Linked DNA regions of Cricetulus griseus. The protein of the gene in region 2 interacts with the protein of the main gene of each other region in a pairwise test. Links are inferred from orthologs where the notes say so. Each region holds a gene or a part of one and is shown on either strand. Other genes may lie near its edges.

Region 1 (4,272 bases), about 75 Mb from region 2:
AAAAATCTTTGAAACAAAGATCTATTTGTTATGTATGCAGTGTTTTGCCTGCATGTATGCTTGCACACCAGAAGAGGGCACCAGATCTCATTATAGATGTTTGCACCCCCAAGAGGTAGATAAATTTTTAGAAATGTTATACTGAAATCTGACTATGTAATATTTAATTCAAAGGACTTCTAAACTGTTTGAAAGTTATTTTCTAGCTGGGCTTTGGTGGCACACGCCTTTAATTCCAGCACCTGGGAGTCAGAGGCAGGCGAATCTCTGTGAGTTCCAGGCTAGCCTGGTCTACAGAGTGAGTGCCAGGACAGCCTCCAAAGCAATACAGAGAAACCCTGCTGGAAAAAACAAAAAGTACTTCCTTTATTTTTAAGATTTATTTATTATATGCAGTGTTCTGCCTGCATGTATGTCTGTGCACCAGATCTCATTATGGATGCTTGTGAGCCACCATGTGGTTCCTGGGAATTGAACTCAGGATGTCTAGAAGAGCAGACAGTGCTCTTAACCTCTTTGCCATCTCTCCAGCCCAGTATTTCCTTCTTTCTTTTTTAGGCTTTTAAAGTTTTATGCATGTAAGTGTCTGCCTGCATGTAAGTATGTGTGCTACATGTGTGCCTGTTACACCTCCATGTGGAGGTCAGAAGAGGACAACAGATCCTTCTGCAACTGGAGTGACAGAGATTATGAGCTGCCATTCAGGTGCTGGCAATTGAACCTGGCAAGAGCAGCCAGTGCCCTTAGCCAGGGCTAAGTCATCTCTCCAGCCCCCTTGAAAGACTTTCTTGGCAGTGTCTCAGAATACCCACTAGTTCTATGTATGAAGCAGGACTTCTTTACTATAATTCTGAAATTATTTTCATTTGCAATTAAGAAAGTTGCCGGAGGCAGGCGGATCTGTGAGTTCAAGGCCAGTCTGGTCTACAGAGCAAGTTCTGGGACCACAAGGCTGTCTTGAAAAGCCACAGAAAGAAAGAAGGAAAGAAAGAAAGGAAGGAAGGAAGGAAGGATTATTAACCAGAAATAGCCTATCTCAAAGCAGTTTGGAAACTGGCAAACTGATAAGGCTTTTGACATTCTTCTATTTCAAGGTAAAATTCACCTCAATATTTCAAAAACAGTCCTGTTAAAAACATTGCATCATAAGTCAGACAATTCCTCCCCTTTTCTATTTTCATACAGTATTTTGCACATAGCACAAGGAATTCAGATTTTCAAGATTACTAATCTAGTTTACCTTCAGGAATGCTATAATACCAATTCAGTCATCCTATGTAGATATCCTTTCCCTATATAGAATATTTCTACTTTAAGGTGCTATAATCTATAAGAAAGATATAGAAATCGCTTCTGGCTATTACCTCAATAAAAATCAAAAGTTACTTTTTGAAAAAACATCAGTCAATTTTTCTTTCTTTCAGAAAAGTTAAGAATGTAATTTCGGGGGCTGGAGAGATGTCTCAGAAGTTAGGAGCACTGGCTCTTCCAGAGGACCTGGATTCAATTCCCAGCACCCATATGGCAGCTCCCAACTGTCTGTGACTACAGTTCCAAGGAATCTAGCACCCTCAAACAGAAGGTAAAACACCAATTCATATAAAATAGAAATAAATTATTTTTAAAAAGAATGTAATTTTAATGAGTAAGAAACTAAAACACTGGGGCTGGAGAGGTGGCTCCAAAGTTAAGAGCACTTCACTGCTCTTCCCGATGCCCTGAGTTCAATTCCCAGCACCCTCTTCTGGTGTGCATGAAGACAGAGCACTCATATTCATAAAACACACACACAAATAAATAAATAAACTAAAACAACAACAAAAACCAAACAAACAAAACAGGCTGAGCACATCTAATCCCAGCATTTATGAGATGGAGGCAGTAAGATCAAGGCCTGTTCAAGGTCATCTTCAGATTACTCATGGAGTACAAAGCCAGTCTTCAAAAAACAAAAACAAAAACTTATTAAGCCTGTGATGGTGCATGCCCCTAATCACAGCACTTGGAGGCTGAGGCAGAAGGATATCTGGGAATTCATGGCCAGTGTGGAATACAGAGTGAATCTGAGGCTAGCCTGGACTACATAGCCAGAACTTGTCTCAAAAAAGAGGAGGAAGGACTGAGATGACTCTTAAATTGGCTTTATCCTCTCCAACACAAAAAGAATCGATGTCGGAGTTTACTTCGAAAAACATGTGAGGTTGGTAGTTAACCACAAACTACAGATGAGTTTCTGAATAAGCAGTTGTGTTTTCGTGGGATTTTTTTTTTTTTTTTGCAGAAACATACAAGTTGCATTTAAAGAAAAATTCCTATGACAACTAGTGTTTATCTCACATCCCTCTCTAACGTTACCTTTCCATTATTTACCCTCTATTTACCGGCTTCTATCATTTTTCATATGGCACGGCTTAGGTCTAAGGCGGGGAGGCGCAACTTTTTCCTTAGAATACTGAGACTGTTAACTTTCTCCTTCAGCAGTTCAGCCAGCCAGCTTTTATCTATCTGTTCTGGAACGAGGGGATACGCTTACCTATTGTGAGGTCGTGCACAGGCTGGAACCGCTTATCGGTGAACTGCAGGAGGAGACATGACTTCCCCACACCTGAAAACAGACAGTGCGGAGTAGGCACGCCACCCGGGAAACCGCGGGCTCCCAGGCGGGGCACAGGGTCTAAGGAAAAGACAGAGCCCCGCCCCCGGAGTTCGCCCCGCCCCCTCCGCGCCACTCCGCTCGCCCGGCCCACTCGTCCCGCCCCGCCCCCAGGCCGATTTTGGAGGTGGGATCCCCGCCCAAGCCCCGAAGGCGGTCCACCTGCGGGTTACCTGTGTCTCCGATGATGATGTACTTGAAGAGATAAGCGTAAGTCATGGTCCCGAGGCGTCTGTGTTCCGGTCCGCCTGATTTCTACAGCCACTTACCTCCGTCCTCTCTAGCCACTCACTCTACCGATCTCCTTATTTGCCTCCGCTCCAGCCCTTCTAGCTCAGGCCGCGTCTCTATTGCTCTCCCCAGAAATCCTCCCTGGATCCGGAGTACCCGACGCCGCCTCTAGGGCCGCCCCGCGCTCTTCTACATGCCATTATCCCACCAAGCTCCAGGGGGCGACAGCGAGCCTTCGGGCAGCTCGAATCGCGACTGGTTCGGCCAGGACTCCGTCCAATCAGCGGAGAGCGACGCTCCTCTTTGAGGAAGTGACGCGTTCGGAACCCAGTGGGTCCGGTGGGAGCGATGCGGACACTGGGACGCTGGTAGTGGTGCTGTGAAGATGGAGGTACGCGCGGGGGGTCTGGAGGGTTGACGAGCAGCGCGGCCGACTAGATGGAAGCAGAAGCGGGAAGCCGGACAGCGGGGAGCGAGGGGTGCTCGGGAGGGCTGGGAGGCCCGGGGTCCCCGCGCGCCCCTGCTTCGCTCACTTATCCCCGTGGCTTTTTATTTATTTATTTGTTTTTGGTTTACAGTTTCCCGGAGGAAATGACAATTACCTGACCATCACTGGGCCCTCGCATCCTTTCCTGTCAGGGGCCGAGGTGAGCAAAAGCTGCCGACGCTGGGGCGCGGGAGGGCCTAGGCAGCGGTTGGGGCCGGACGGTGGGGGAGAGCGCGGGGGCGGACGGGAGCTGGGGAGGACAGTGGCCGAGGCTTCGAGAGCCTCTGAGGACTCTGAGCGGTGCGGTGGGGGGACGAACGGGAAGCGTCTGTCATCAGAAAACCAGGATGTTGAAGAGCTTCACTGCCTGTTTAAGGAAGGAGTCCGGTTCTGAATGTGGAGAACGAGTGGGATTGTCTGCCCTGGTTCGGGTGAAGTAGTTGCAACAATCTTGGGAAGATAGCAAGGAAGAAATTTGTTTTTTTTTTTTTTTCAGTAAAGAAAACCTGATAAGAAAGTAGTTTATGTAGCAGGGGTTAACCTCGGACAGGTGTTAATTCTTGAACTCTGTAAGTGGTCTTTTAAACTTGAAATTTCTGATAAAAGTGGCTACTTTCACCAACGTGGTTTCTGCTCGCTTTGCTAATGAAGGATAGAAGGAAAGAAATAGCCGCCAGAGAACATAAAAAGAGTAGAGTATACCTTGTTTGCCAGTGAGTACAAACTTTGAGCAGATAACTTCACTTTTGGATCACAGTTGTCAAGTTAACTATAATAATAGGGTTTGTTTTGTTTTGCCTTTTTTTTTTTTCCTCCAAGCCAGGGTTTCCCTGTGTAGATTTGGTGCCAGTCCTAACACTCCCTCTGTAGACCAGGCAGGTCTTGAACTCTCAGAGATCCG
Region 2 (3,803 bases):
ATATTCTTATACCCAAATGCTTATTTATCACTATGTCTGTAAGATAACCAACAGCGTGCATAAGGGACCATTAACAGTGCTTGCCTCCCACGAGATTTTCAGTGGACCGTGTCAGAAAGTTAGCTTTCTTCCTACTTTTTGTGCCACTTGCTTTGACTTTATTGGCTGAAAGGAGAAAAATCAATGAAGGATTCTAGTCCAACCTGGGACAAGGAAACGGTTCTCTCCATCAGTGTCTTTGTCCGCTTAAACCCTGGGTCACTTTCTGCGAGGACATTCATGGTTTTCTTTCCAATGAATTCCAGAGCATCCAGACCTCCGCTTAAGACACTTTTGCCCTGCAAATGAGAAAAACACATGCAATTAGATTTTTCTACAGCCTGCTGTTTTGCACTGGCCCGCAGTTCCCATGTACCCGGCACTCTCTTCAAATATTAAAATCAATAGAAAGCCACAAGTTTTTCACACCATGACATTGATCATCTATTTAAATCCTGTTTGCTTTTTCTTGAAAAACTGTACATTGTATAATTTGTAGGACATGAGGTGTTATTAAAAATGATGCACATTCGGGATTCATGTCAGTGGCTCTGAGCATATCAAGAGATATGAATCTAAGACATAAAATTAATGGATGACCCAATTGCCATGTTCGTTTGAAAGAATTTTAGCATAAGTAACAGAATTATTTGGGGTGGGTTATTAAAATGTCAAATACTCAGGCTTATTTAGATGATTTTTAATGCAGGGCCCTGAAGCAGCAGACCCTCAGGCTGTTTCAGATGGCTCTTTCGTACTTTCAGAAACTGAAGAACACCAAATATAATTAGTACATTAATGAAGTAAGACAGCTTGCTCTCCATGTACTTCTAGCTGTAGAAACTATTCTATTAGCCAGGTATCAATCAGGAAAAATCCCTTTGCCAGCCATTGTTTTCCTTTTAACGGAAATTGAAACAACAGAGACCCATGCACACTGCTCAAATGAACAGACCTGCCTTGCTTTGAAGACCCTAGACAGAATCCCAACAATACAACTCTAACTACAATCTGCAAACAACTGTATTTTTTCTCACCTTACATGAAAATGTCATCTCTATGTGTTTTCAATCTTCATAATTACTTAAATGGCAGTTTTCAGCCTTGCTGAATGGATATACTTTATCAGACATTTCCACTTTCGGCATTTGGAATTTGTTTTCAAATCTGGCACCAAATCAATACTCATGCTACGGAACAGACTTGTAAAAGCAGACACTTTGAAGGATTCTATGGCTTCAATATAAAGTGTTCCTCAGCTACTAGTGTTATTTTAGGAAGTTCTAGAAACTTAAGGAGGTGGAGGCCAGTTGGAGGACGTGGGCCACTGGGGCGTGTACCTTAAATTTTATATCTGGTTCTCAGTCCCTCCTCTTTCTCTGCACCCGGGCTGCCAGAGGCAAAGAGCCCCCTGCTTACGTAATCCCACCACCATGACATTCAAGCACACGAAGCCAAACAACCATGGCTTAAAGCCTCTCAAACCATGAGCAAAACAAACCTTCTTCCCTGAGTTATTTCCCTGTGTTATTGTCCCAGCAATGATAAAAGCAAAGCATACAAAGGATGATGGGATTCTCAGCAGCTATACTTTTGCAAACTTCAATTTACAGGTCCCCAATATCCTGCCACTTCCATAGAGAATAAAGTGAGAACAGGAAGTATCTGTTCACTGTTGGACAAGGGCAAGCCTGCAGATGGGGTGGGACTGTGGGAAGGAAGCCAAGCAGGTTCAGAACACAGAAAGGGAGCTGGGGATGTGGATGGTGCTTTCAGGAGTGGATTGCTCAGGGCTGGCAAGATAGTTCCATGGAAACAGGCAATTACTGCATGAACCTGATGACCTGAGTTCCATCCCCGGAACCCACATAAAGAGGAAGGAGAGAACTGACTCCACAGAGTTGTCCTCTCATGTTCATATGAGCACCATGGTAAGGTGCCCCTCCCCCATCATATGCACACACAATAATGCAAAAATTTTTAATTAAAAAAAGGGAGGTGACAAGCTATGAATTCATTTTTTACTCCAGAGTTACTGAGTGAGCTTCCTCCACTCCCATGGGTGCCTTTGAACTGCTTTGCTGTGTGACTACTAAAACATCTTGGTATGCCTCTTCTTCCTGCCCAGTCTAGGGGCCTTCAAGGAGCAAGTACAGGACAGTCATTTTCTTTATTCCTGCCATACTTTCACCCCAATGTATGGGTCAGATCACTTACCCTGTTCATCTACAATCCCTTCTCTCCCATGGTGCACTGCACTCCATTGTTGAATTGACTTAATATGGAAAATCTGGCCAGAGTCTGGTGAGGTTCCTGTTACACAGTGAGGACAATTGTCTCTCTTCAAAATCACAACTGATTAAATGACTAAAAAGGGACATGAGCCATATTTCGAGAAAATCTAGTTAGTTTGTTCTAGAGAGTAGACTGAATCTTTTCTTCTTGGCTCTGAGGACCAGCTAGCTCCCTCATCTCACTTGGGGTACCTCCGTTTCCTTTTAACACTCATCACTGTTTTGTTGTCAATAGGATAACAAGCTTCCTTTGAGTGAGATGGTTATGCATCTGTCTTTAAAACAATCCACTTAACATAAATGAAAATGAATAAAAAGGAAGGGTAGGACTTGCAGGGATACATTTAGGGCTCTGCAAGGAAGGGCACAGAAGGCATTGCAGCCATATGGCAGGGTAGGTCTCTGGACTATTCCTCTTGTCAGTGACATACTTTGTTTGTAGACAGTTTCATATTTTTAAGAACATTGAGATAGGATCCAGGAAGAAGAGCTGTCCTGGCTCTGAGTTCCTCCCCCACCCAGAGGTTGTCCTTGCAGCGGCTGAAAAGGACACTGTTAAATCAGATTGAAAAAAAAAAAATAATGTCCCTTCTAAACCATGCTTTTCTATTAAACACAAGCCACATTTCATCTTGCCCTTATTATTTCAGAACCAAGGTCACACCTACTCTGTAGCAAAAAGCATAACAAACCGTAATCCAAAGTTATGAGCAAGGCTGCCTTTTCTCTGATGTATCTGGGTCACGAGATGGAGAGATCAAAAGAAGTGAGCCACCAGGGGAAACATGAAGCAGCTAGGGACTCACCGTGTTTTGAACCACGTTGGTGAGGGCTGACAGCATGCCCCTCGACCCTGCCGCCCCTGGCGGAGGAGAAGTGTGGGGGCCCCCGGCAGGGTCCTGATCTGGAGTCACATCTGTCATGGTAAGAGAGAACACCCCTGTTAGAATGTGGTTTGCTGATCTGAATGTGGGCTCTTTCCCACCGTGTAATTGTGCACATAGTGTAATAAAACTGAACACGAGGTGAACATGCCACTCACTTTCAGAAAATCCATTTTCGGCATCAGTTGGTACCCCTTCAGGAGATCCAGAATTGACACTGTGGATTCGCAGGGTTGCCCCGGCCTTTTCCTTGACTGCAGTTAACCCATGACCTGTAGGTAAATAAATATATAGTTAACAGATACATTATAAGCCCACACAATCTGTAACCCCTGGGCTGATCACACAAAACATGGCCTTGTGGGCGTCCACCCTGAATAAAACAAAATGCTCAACAGCAGGGCATTTACATCCCCTAGGGTAGGGCCCAAAGATGAACTCAACTTGGTCAAGGCTGAGTGACCTGAAAGAAGCCACCTTCCTTTTGTGACTCAGTTTCCTTCCTATGTTTCCAGACCCTCTGCCTTTCACACTGGCTGTTTGCACACTGAGATTCTAAACTCAAGCCAGCATCTTTGAATGACAT
Region 3 (4,524 bases), on a different chromosome or scaffold from region 2:
CTCTGGAACCCAGTTGCAGAGAGGGAGGAGTGAAGATCAAAGGGGTCGGTACCAGGCTGGTGAATCCCTCAGAAACAGCTGGCCTGAACAAGGGGGAGCACATGGACCCCAGATGCTGTCTGGGAGGACAGTACAGGACTGATCCAGACCCCTGAACGTGAATGTTAATGAGGAGGCCTAGGCACTCTATGGGGCCCCTGGTAGTGGATCAGTATTTTTCTCTGGTGTAAGAAGGGACTTTGAGAGCCCATCCCACGTGAAGGGATGCTCTGTCTCGGCCTGGACACATAGGGAAGGGCCTAGATCCCGCCCAGGATGATGTGGTGGACTTTGGGGAGCACTCATGGAGAGCCCTACCCTCCCTGGGGAGTGGAGGGGGGAGGGGGGGCTGGTGGGAGGTTGGGGAGGGAGGGAGAGGGAGAAGGGATTGACATGTGAAGCTATATAAATAAAATTTTTTTAAAAAGATATATTTTTAAGTTCTCCTTAAAACACTAAGATCTTGCTATAAGATTCTTAAAATTTTTCAAACAAGATTTACAGATAATTCAATATGATCATACATTATTTCAGAGCAAAACTACTTACTGAAAGGAGTCATAACATCTGCACCCTCTTTTGTAAGAACAGTGATTAGAGTGAGCCTTACAGAAGAGGACCTGTGTCTGAGGGCAAGCCTAGTGTTGAGTATGTTCCCCTCAACATCAGCACAAAGCCGCAAAAGGAGACAGTTTGGACAGGAGGTCTGAGGAGGATCTCTGTAACTGTACAGAGAAAACTAGTTCTGTTGAGAAAAAGTATGTAGTTAAGAAGAGGGAGGAGATGGGAGCATGAGAGGAAGATAAAGACTAACAGGGTGATGACCAGAATACTTTATGTAGATATGAAAATGTCCTAATGAAGCCGTTATTGTGATTTAATTAACTTATGCTAATTAAAAAAGAATATATAGCCGGGCGGTGGTAGCGCATGCACAAGGCGGGAAGTGCGCAGAGGCAGGACGATCTCTGTGTGTTCAAGGCCAGCCTGGTCTACAAAGCGAGTTCTAGGACAGCCAGGGCTACACAGAGAAACCCTGCTTCGAAAAACCAAAACCAAAAAGTAAACCAAACCAACCAACCAAATACATCAAGCTCTATTCACCAAAGCTAGAACCCAAAGATGTCTCCCCCGAAGCACGAGCCACCCGAAAACTGAAGGCAGAAGCACAGACTTCACTGCCATAGCTTTCTCCTGGTGCTTATGTCAGACAGGTGACCTAGGACGGACCCTGACCCAACGCCAGCACTGGCGCCAGCTTCTGCATTGCTCCAATACATTTGCGCTCGGGCGAGCACAGAAGCTCCCATCCGGGGCTCCACGCCAGCCTCGTTGTCATAGTTACCGCCAGAGCCCCGCCCCTTCCTCGCTGTCCGGCCCCGCCCCTCAGAACCCGGAAGCGGGAGGCGCGCCCCAGGGAGCTACGGGATTCAGACCTGGGAGGCGGCGGCCTCTGGCTGCTCAGCCGCGCGCCCCCTCTACCTGCTGCGCCCGCGGAGCCTCTGCTCTGCAGCCGCCCGGCCCACCCGCGCCCTGCCGCCTGCCTCCGCAGCGCCCGAACCGGGCCGAAGAGCCGTTTGGGCTGGAGAGAAAGGGACGCGGGGGTGGCCACGGCAGGTGAGGGGCAGGCCTTGGAAAGCGGAGTGAGGGTGTGTGGTGCGTGTAGGGTTGTAGGTGGGTGTGTATCGAGCATGCGTGACTAGTGAGTGTCGTCCACGGGTGGGCCGGTCCTTGTGACCATGCACGTGATCCATATCCGTGTGTGTTTGTGTCTGTGTCTAAGGCCCAGCCTCGGTTCATTGCGGATGGTCGGTGTGCCTGTGGGTCCACTATTGTGTGGCTATGGCTATAACTAGTGGGACTCAGGGAGGCCCCAATGGGGGTTGGTGCCCAAAACCTTAACCGGACATCTTCATCTTCTTGTACCACCCAACTTGGGGCTGTGCGGCAGAAGCTCAGAAGCATTTGGTTTCAGTAAACTTTTAAGGACTGCGAGTAGAGGCCAGTTCTGGAGATCCTGCCTTAGACCGGGCATGAGGCTTGTTAGAGAGTCATGAGAAACATTGCAGGGCTAGCGAGTGTCTCGTTTTTCTTTTCCCAGGAAGTTAGTTGTTAGGTGCTGATGCAGTTGCTTTGTCTCTATCTGCAATTGTCCAGCTACTCTTCGTGCAAGGATTCTAAGGATTGGGAAGTCCTCTAATACTGTCTGAATTTTTCAAAAGGCATTTACAACAGGATCTTGAGAAGAGGTGTCAGAAGATGTCATGCAGGCAGCATCTCCTGTCATGGCATTTAGAGACAAGTGGATAGGTTCCTGGAGAAAGAGGGATGAATTTTCCCTGAAGAAATCGCCCCCGAAAGATAGCTATTTAATACATATGGGTGTGCTGGGGGTGGGGTGAAGATCTGCAGTAAATAGCCAACTGTGGTTCTTTGGGTGTAGTTTAGTGGCAGAAGCTCATGCTTAGCATTCCCGAGGCCATAGGTTCAGTTCCTGGTACCGATAATCATAGTTGTGTCACCTAGAGGCTTTCAAGGTCTAATGCTTTTTTTATTGGCTGTAATAATCACAGATTATCCCTATGTAAGTCCACTATAGATTGAGATAAAGGACCAGCCATATGTGACCATGTGAGTTAACATTTGTAAAGCTGATTTCCTCAGCTGTAAAGTGCAGGTTCTGCTGAGACTCCACGTGCATGCTCACATCCAGCAACACAAAGTCCAGAAAGGACCAGGTGTCCTCAGCATCCCGGAGGAGGGGTTTCCTTAATCATGATTAAAGCTTATCTCTGGCCCTTTCCTCACCAGCCTGAACAAGTGCTTTTGTTTTTGTAAAGAACTGAATCATGAGAAATCGCATCTGTGCTGAGCTCACCGCTCACATTCTTTTTTCATCCTGACCAGTTTGGTCACAATCTCAGCTAACTTTCTGGGCCATAGACACAATGTTTCTTTTGTGACTTGGAAAAGCATCCGACCTAAGTGGATGAAAGAGAGCTAGAACAAACTTTCCTTTTCATACTGCTACAGCTGCTTTCCCTTTGCAGCTTTTTTTTTCTTCTTCTTCTTCTTCTTCATAGCCGTCAGCTGGTCACATGCAACATTTGGTAACTGTCTCGCCTTTCATTACTGCCGAACTAGCACAAGTGTTAGGCTCACTTGTCTTTACAAACGTGTACTCACAGCTGGGCAAAATCTCTTACCCATCAAGATTAGTTATAACGTGTCCTGTTGCAATACTGAGGTAGTTGTGAATTATACGGAAGGCTTTTGGTAAGGACTACCTTCTACCCATTGCTATGGGAAAGAAGTGGGTGACTCGGGGTCCTTGTGTGCCTGCCTACGTGTTTGTGCTGTGGTTTGGTTTGTGAATTGCACCTGACTCTAAAACTGTGAATAATTTCTACCGTAAATGGGTTGATTCTAGAAGTAAACTTTAACAAATTGATTGAAGTTTTTGTTTGTGTGTCTGTTTTGAAATGAGGTTTCACCTATCACTGTGTAGCCCTTGCTGGCTTGGAACTCACTATGTACACCTTGAACTCAGAGTTCTGTCTTCCTCCTGAGTGCTGGGATTAAAGGTGTGCGCTATCATCTGGTGGTTTCACATATTTTTGATATTCTCTCCTACAGAAATTGTTCTAGAAAATGTCTTTAGTTGGTGTCCTAGTGTAAAGTATTTCAGAATTAACTGCTAGTTGCTTTCATTTAAAAAAAGTAGTAGCTTAAGGGAGACAGAAGAGGTAAATTGACTATATTACATTTTGCATGAAACTATTCAAATAATAAGAATCTCTAAAAGTTGTTAAAGTTATGATATAAAAATAGTTTAAACATCTTAGATACTAAACTTGTTAATATTTAAGATAAATGGATTTTGCAAAGGATTGTGTTCTTTGTTTTAGTGTTAATGACTGAATCTGTGCACGATGGTTTCAATATAAGATTGATGGTAATTTACTTTGTGTTTTAAAACAATTTACAGTTTTAGCGGGGGCGGGGGGGCTCTGCTCTCTGTGAGTTAGAGGCCAGCCTGGTCTACAGAGTGAGTTCTCAGTTGGGGATACACAGTGAAATCCTTTCTCAAAAAAAAAAAAATTACAATTTTAACAACCCTCTCAAAATATTTCCTTTGCTTTGAGATAAGAGACCACTATCCTATCAGCATTGTAATTAGAGTTTTAATATTGGTCTGTCTACATTTACTGTCTCCTGGAAGTTCAGTGTAGTGATTCTCAAAGGTAGCAGACCAGTGTTGTGTCCCTGTAGAAAGAGGCCAGAGAATGAGGAAGGGTTCCATTAAGTTTAGAATTCTCTGCCCCTTGCCAGGCCAGAGAGCTTTTTCAAAGTCAGCCTAAACTTAAGTCCTGGACTGTCACCTCATCCCTACTAGGGACTCTAGTTCTGCCCTCAAAGCAGGGGAATGCCACGCAAGACATGTATTTGAACCTTTCCAGGTGGGCCAAGTGCTCTTGGCCATAA

Evidence for each region.
Region 1: the proteins of Fam114a1 (region 2) and Rab2b interact in binary tests that used the Homo sapiens proteins (3 or more experiments, as listed by UniProt). The two-hybrid records come from large-scale screens. The link is inferred for Cricetulus griseus from reciprocal best matches to the Homo sapiens genes FAM114A1 and RAB2B.
Region 3: the proteins of Fam114a1 (region 2) and Spg21 interact in binary tests that used the Homo sapiens proteins (3 or more experiments, as listed by UniProt). The two-hybrid records come from large-scale screens. The link is inferred for Cricetulus griseus from reciprocal best matches to the Homo sapiens genes FAM114A1 and SPG21.

Annotation. Positions count from the first base shown.
Region 1 is NW_023276807.1:207,374,739-207,379,010, forward strand, and holds the start of Rab2b (ras-related protein Rab-2B), read right to left. Parts: upstream 3,088-4,272; 5' UTR 2,873-3,087; coding exon 2,827-2,872; intron 2,606-2,826; coding exon 2,534-2,605; intron 1-2,533. Other genes in the region: Tox4 (TOX high mobility group box family member 4), read left to right, coding at 3,270-3,275, 3,463-3,531. UniProt on the Homo sapiens protein: The small GTPases Rab are key regulators of intracellular membrane trafficking, from the formation of transport vesicles to their fusion with membranes. Rabs cycle between active GTP-bound and inactive GDP-bound states.
Region 2 is NW_023276807.1:132,022,675-132,026,477, reverse strand, and holds part of Fam114a1 (protein NOXP20), read right to left. Parts: intron 3,490-3,803; coding exon 3,376-3,489; intron 3,250-3,375; coding exon 3,140-3,249; intron 339-3,139; coding exon 204-338; intron 1-203. UniProt on the Homo sapiens protein: May play a role in neuronal cell development.
Region 3 is NC_048597.1:177,058,180-177,062,703, forward strand, and holds the start of Spg21 (maspardin), read left to right. Parts: upstream 1-1,437; 5' UTR 1,438-1,656; intron 1,657-4,524. UniProt on the Homo sapiens protein: May play a role as a negative regulatory factor in CD4-dependent T-cell activation.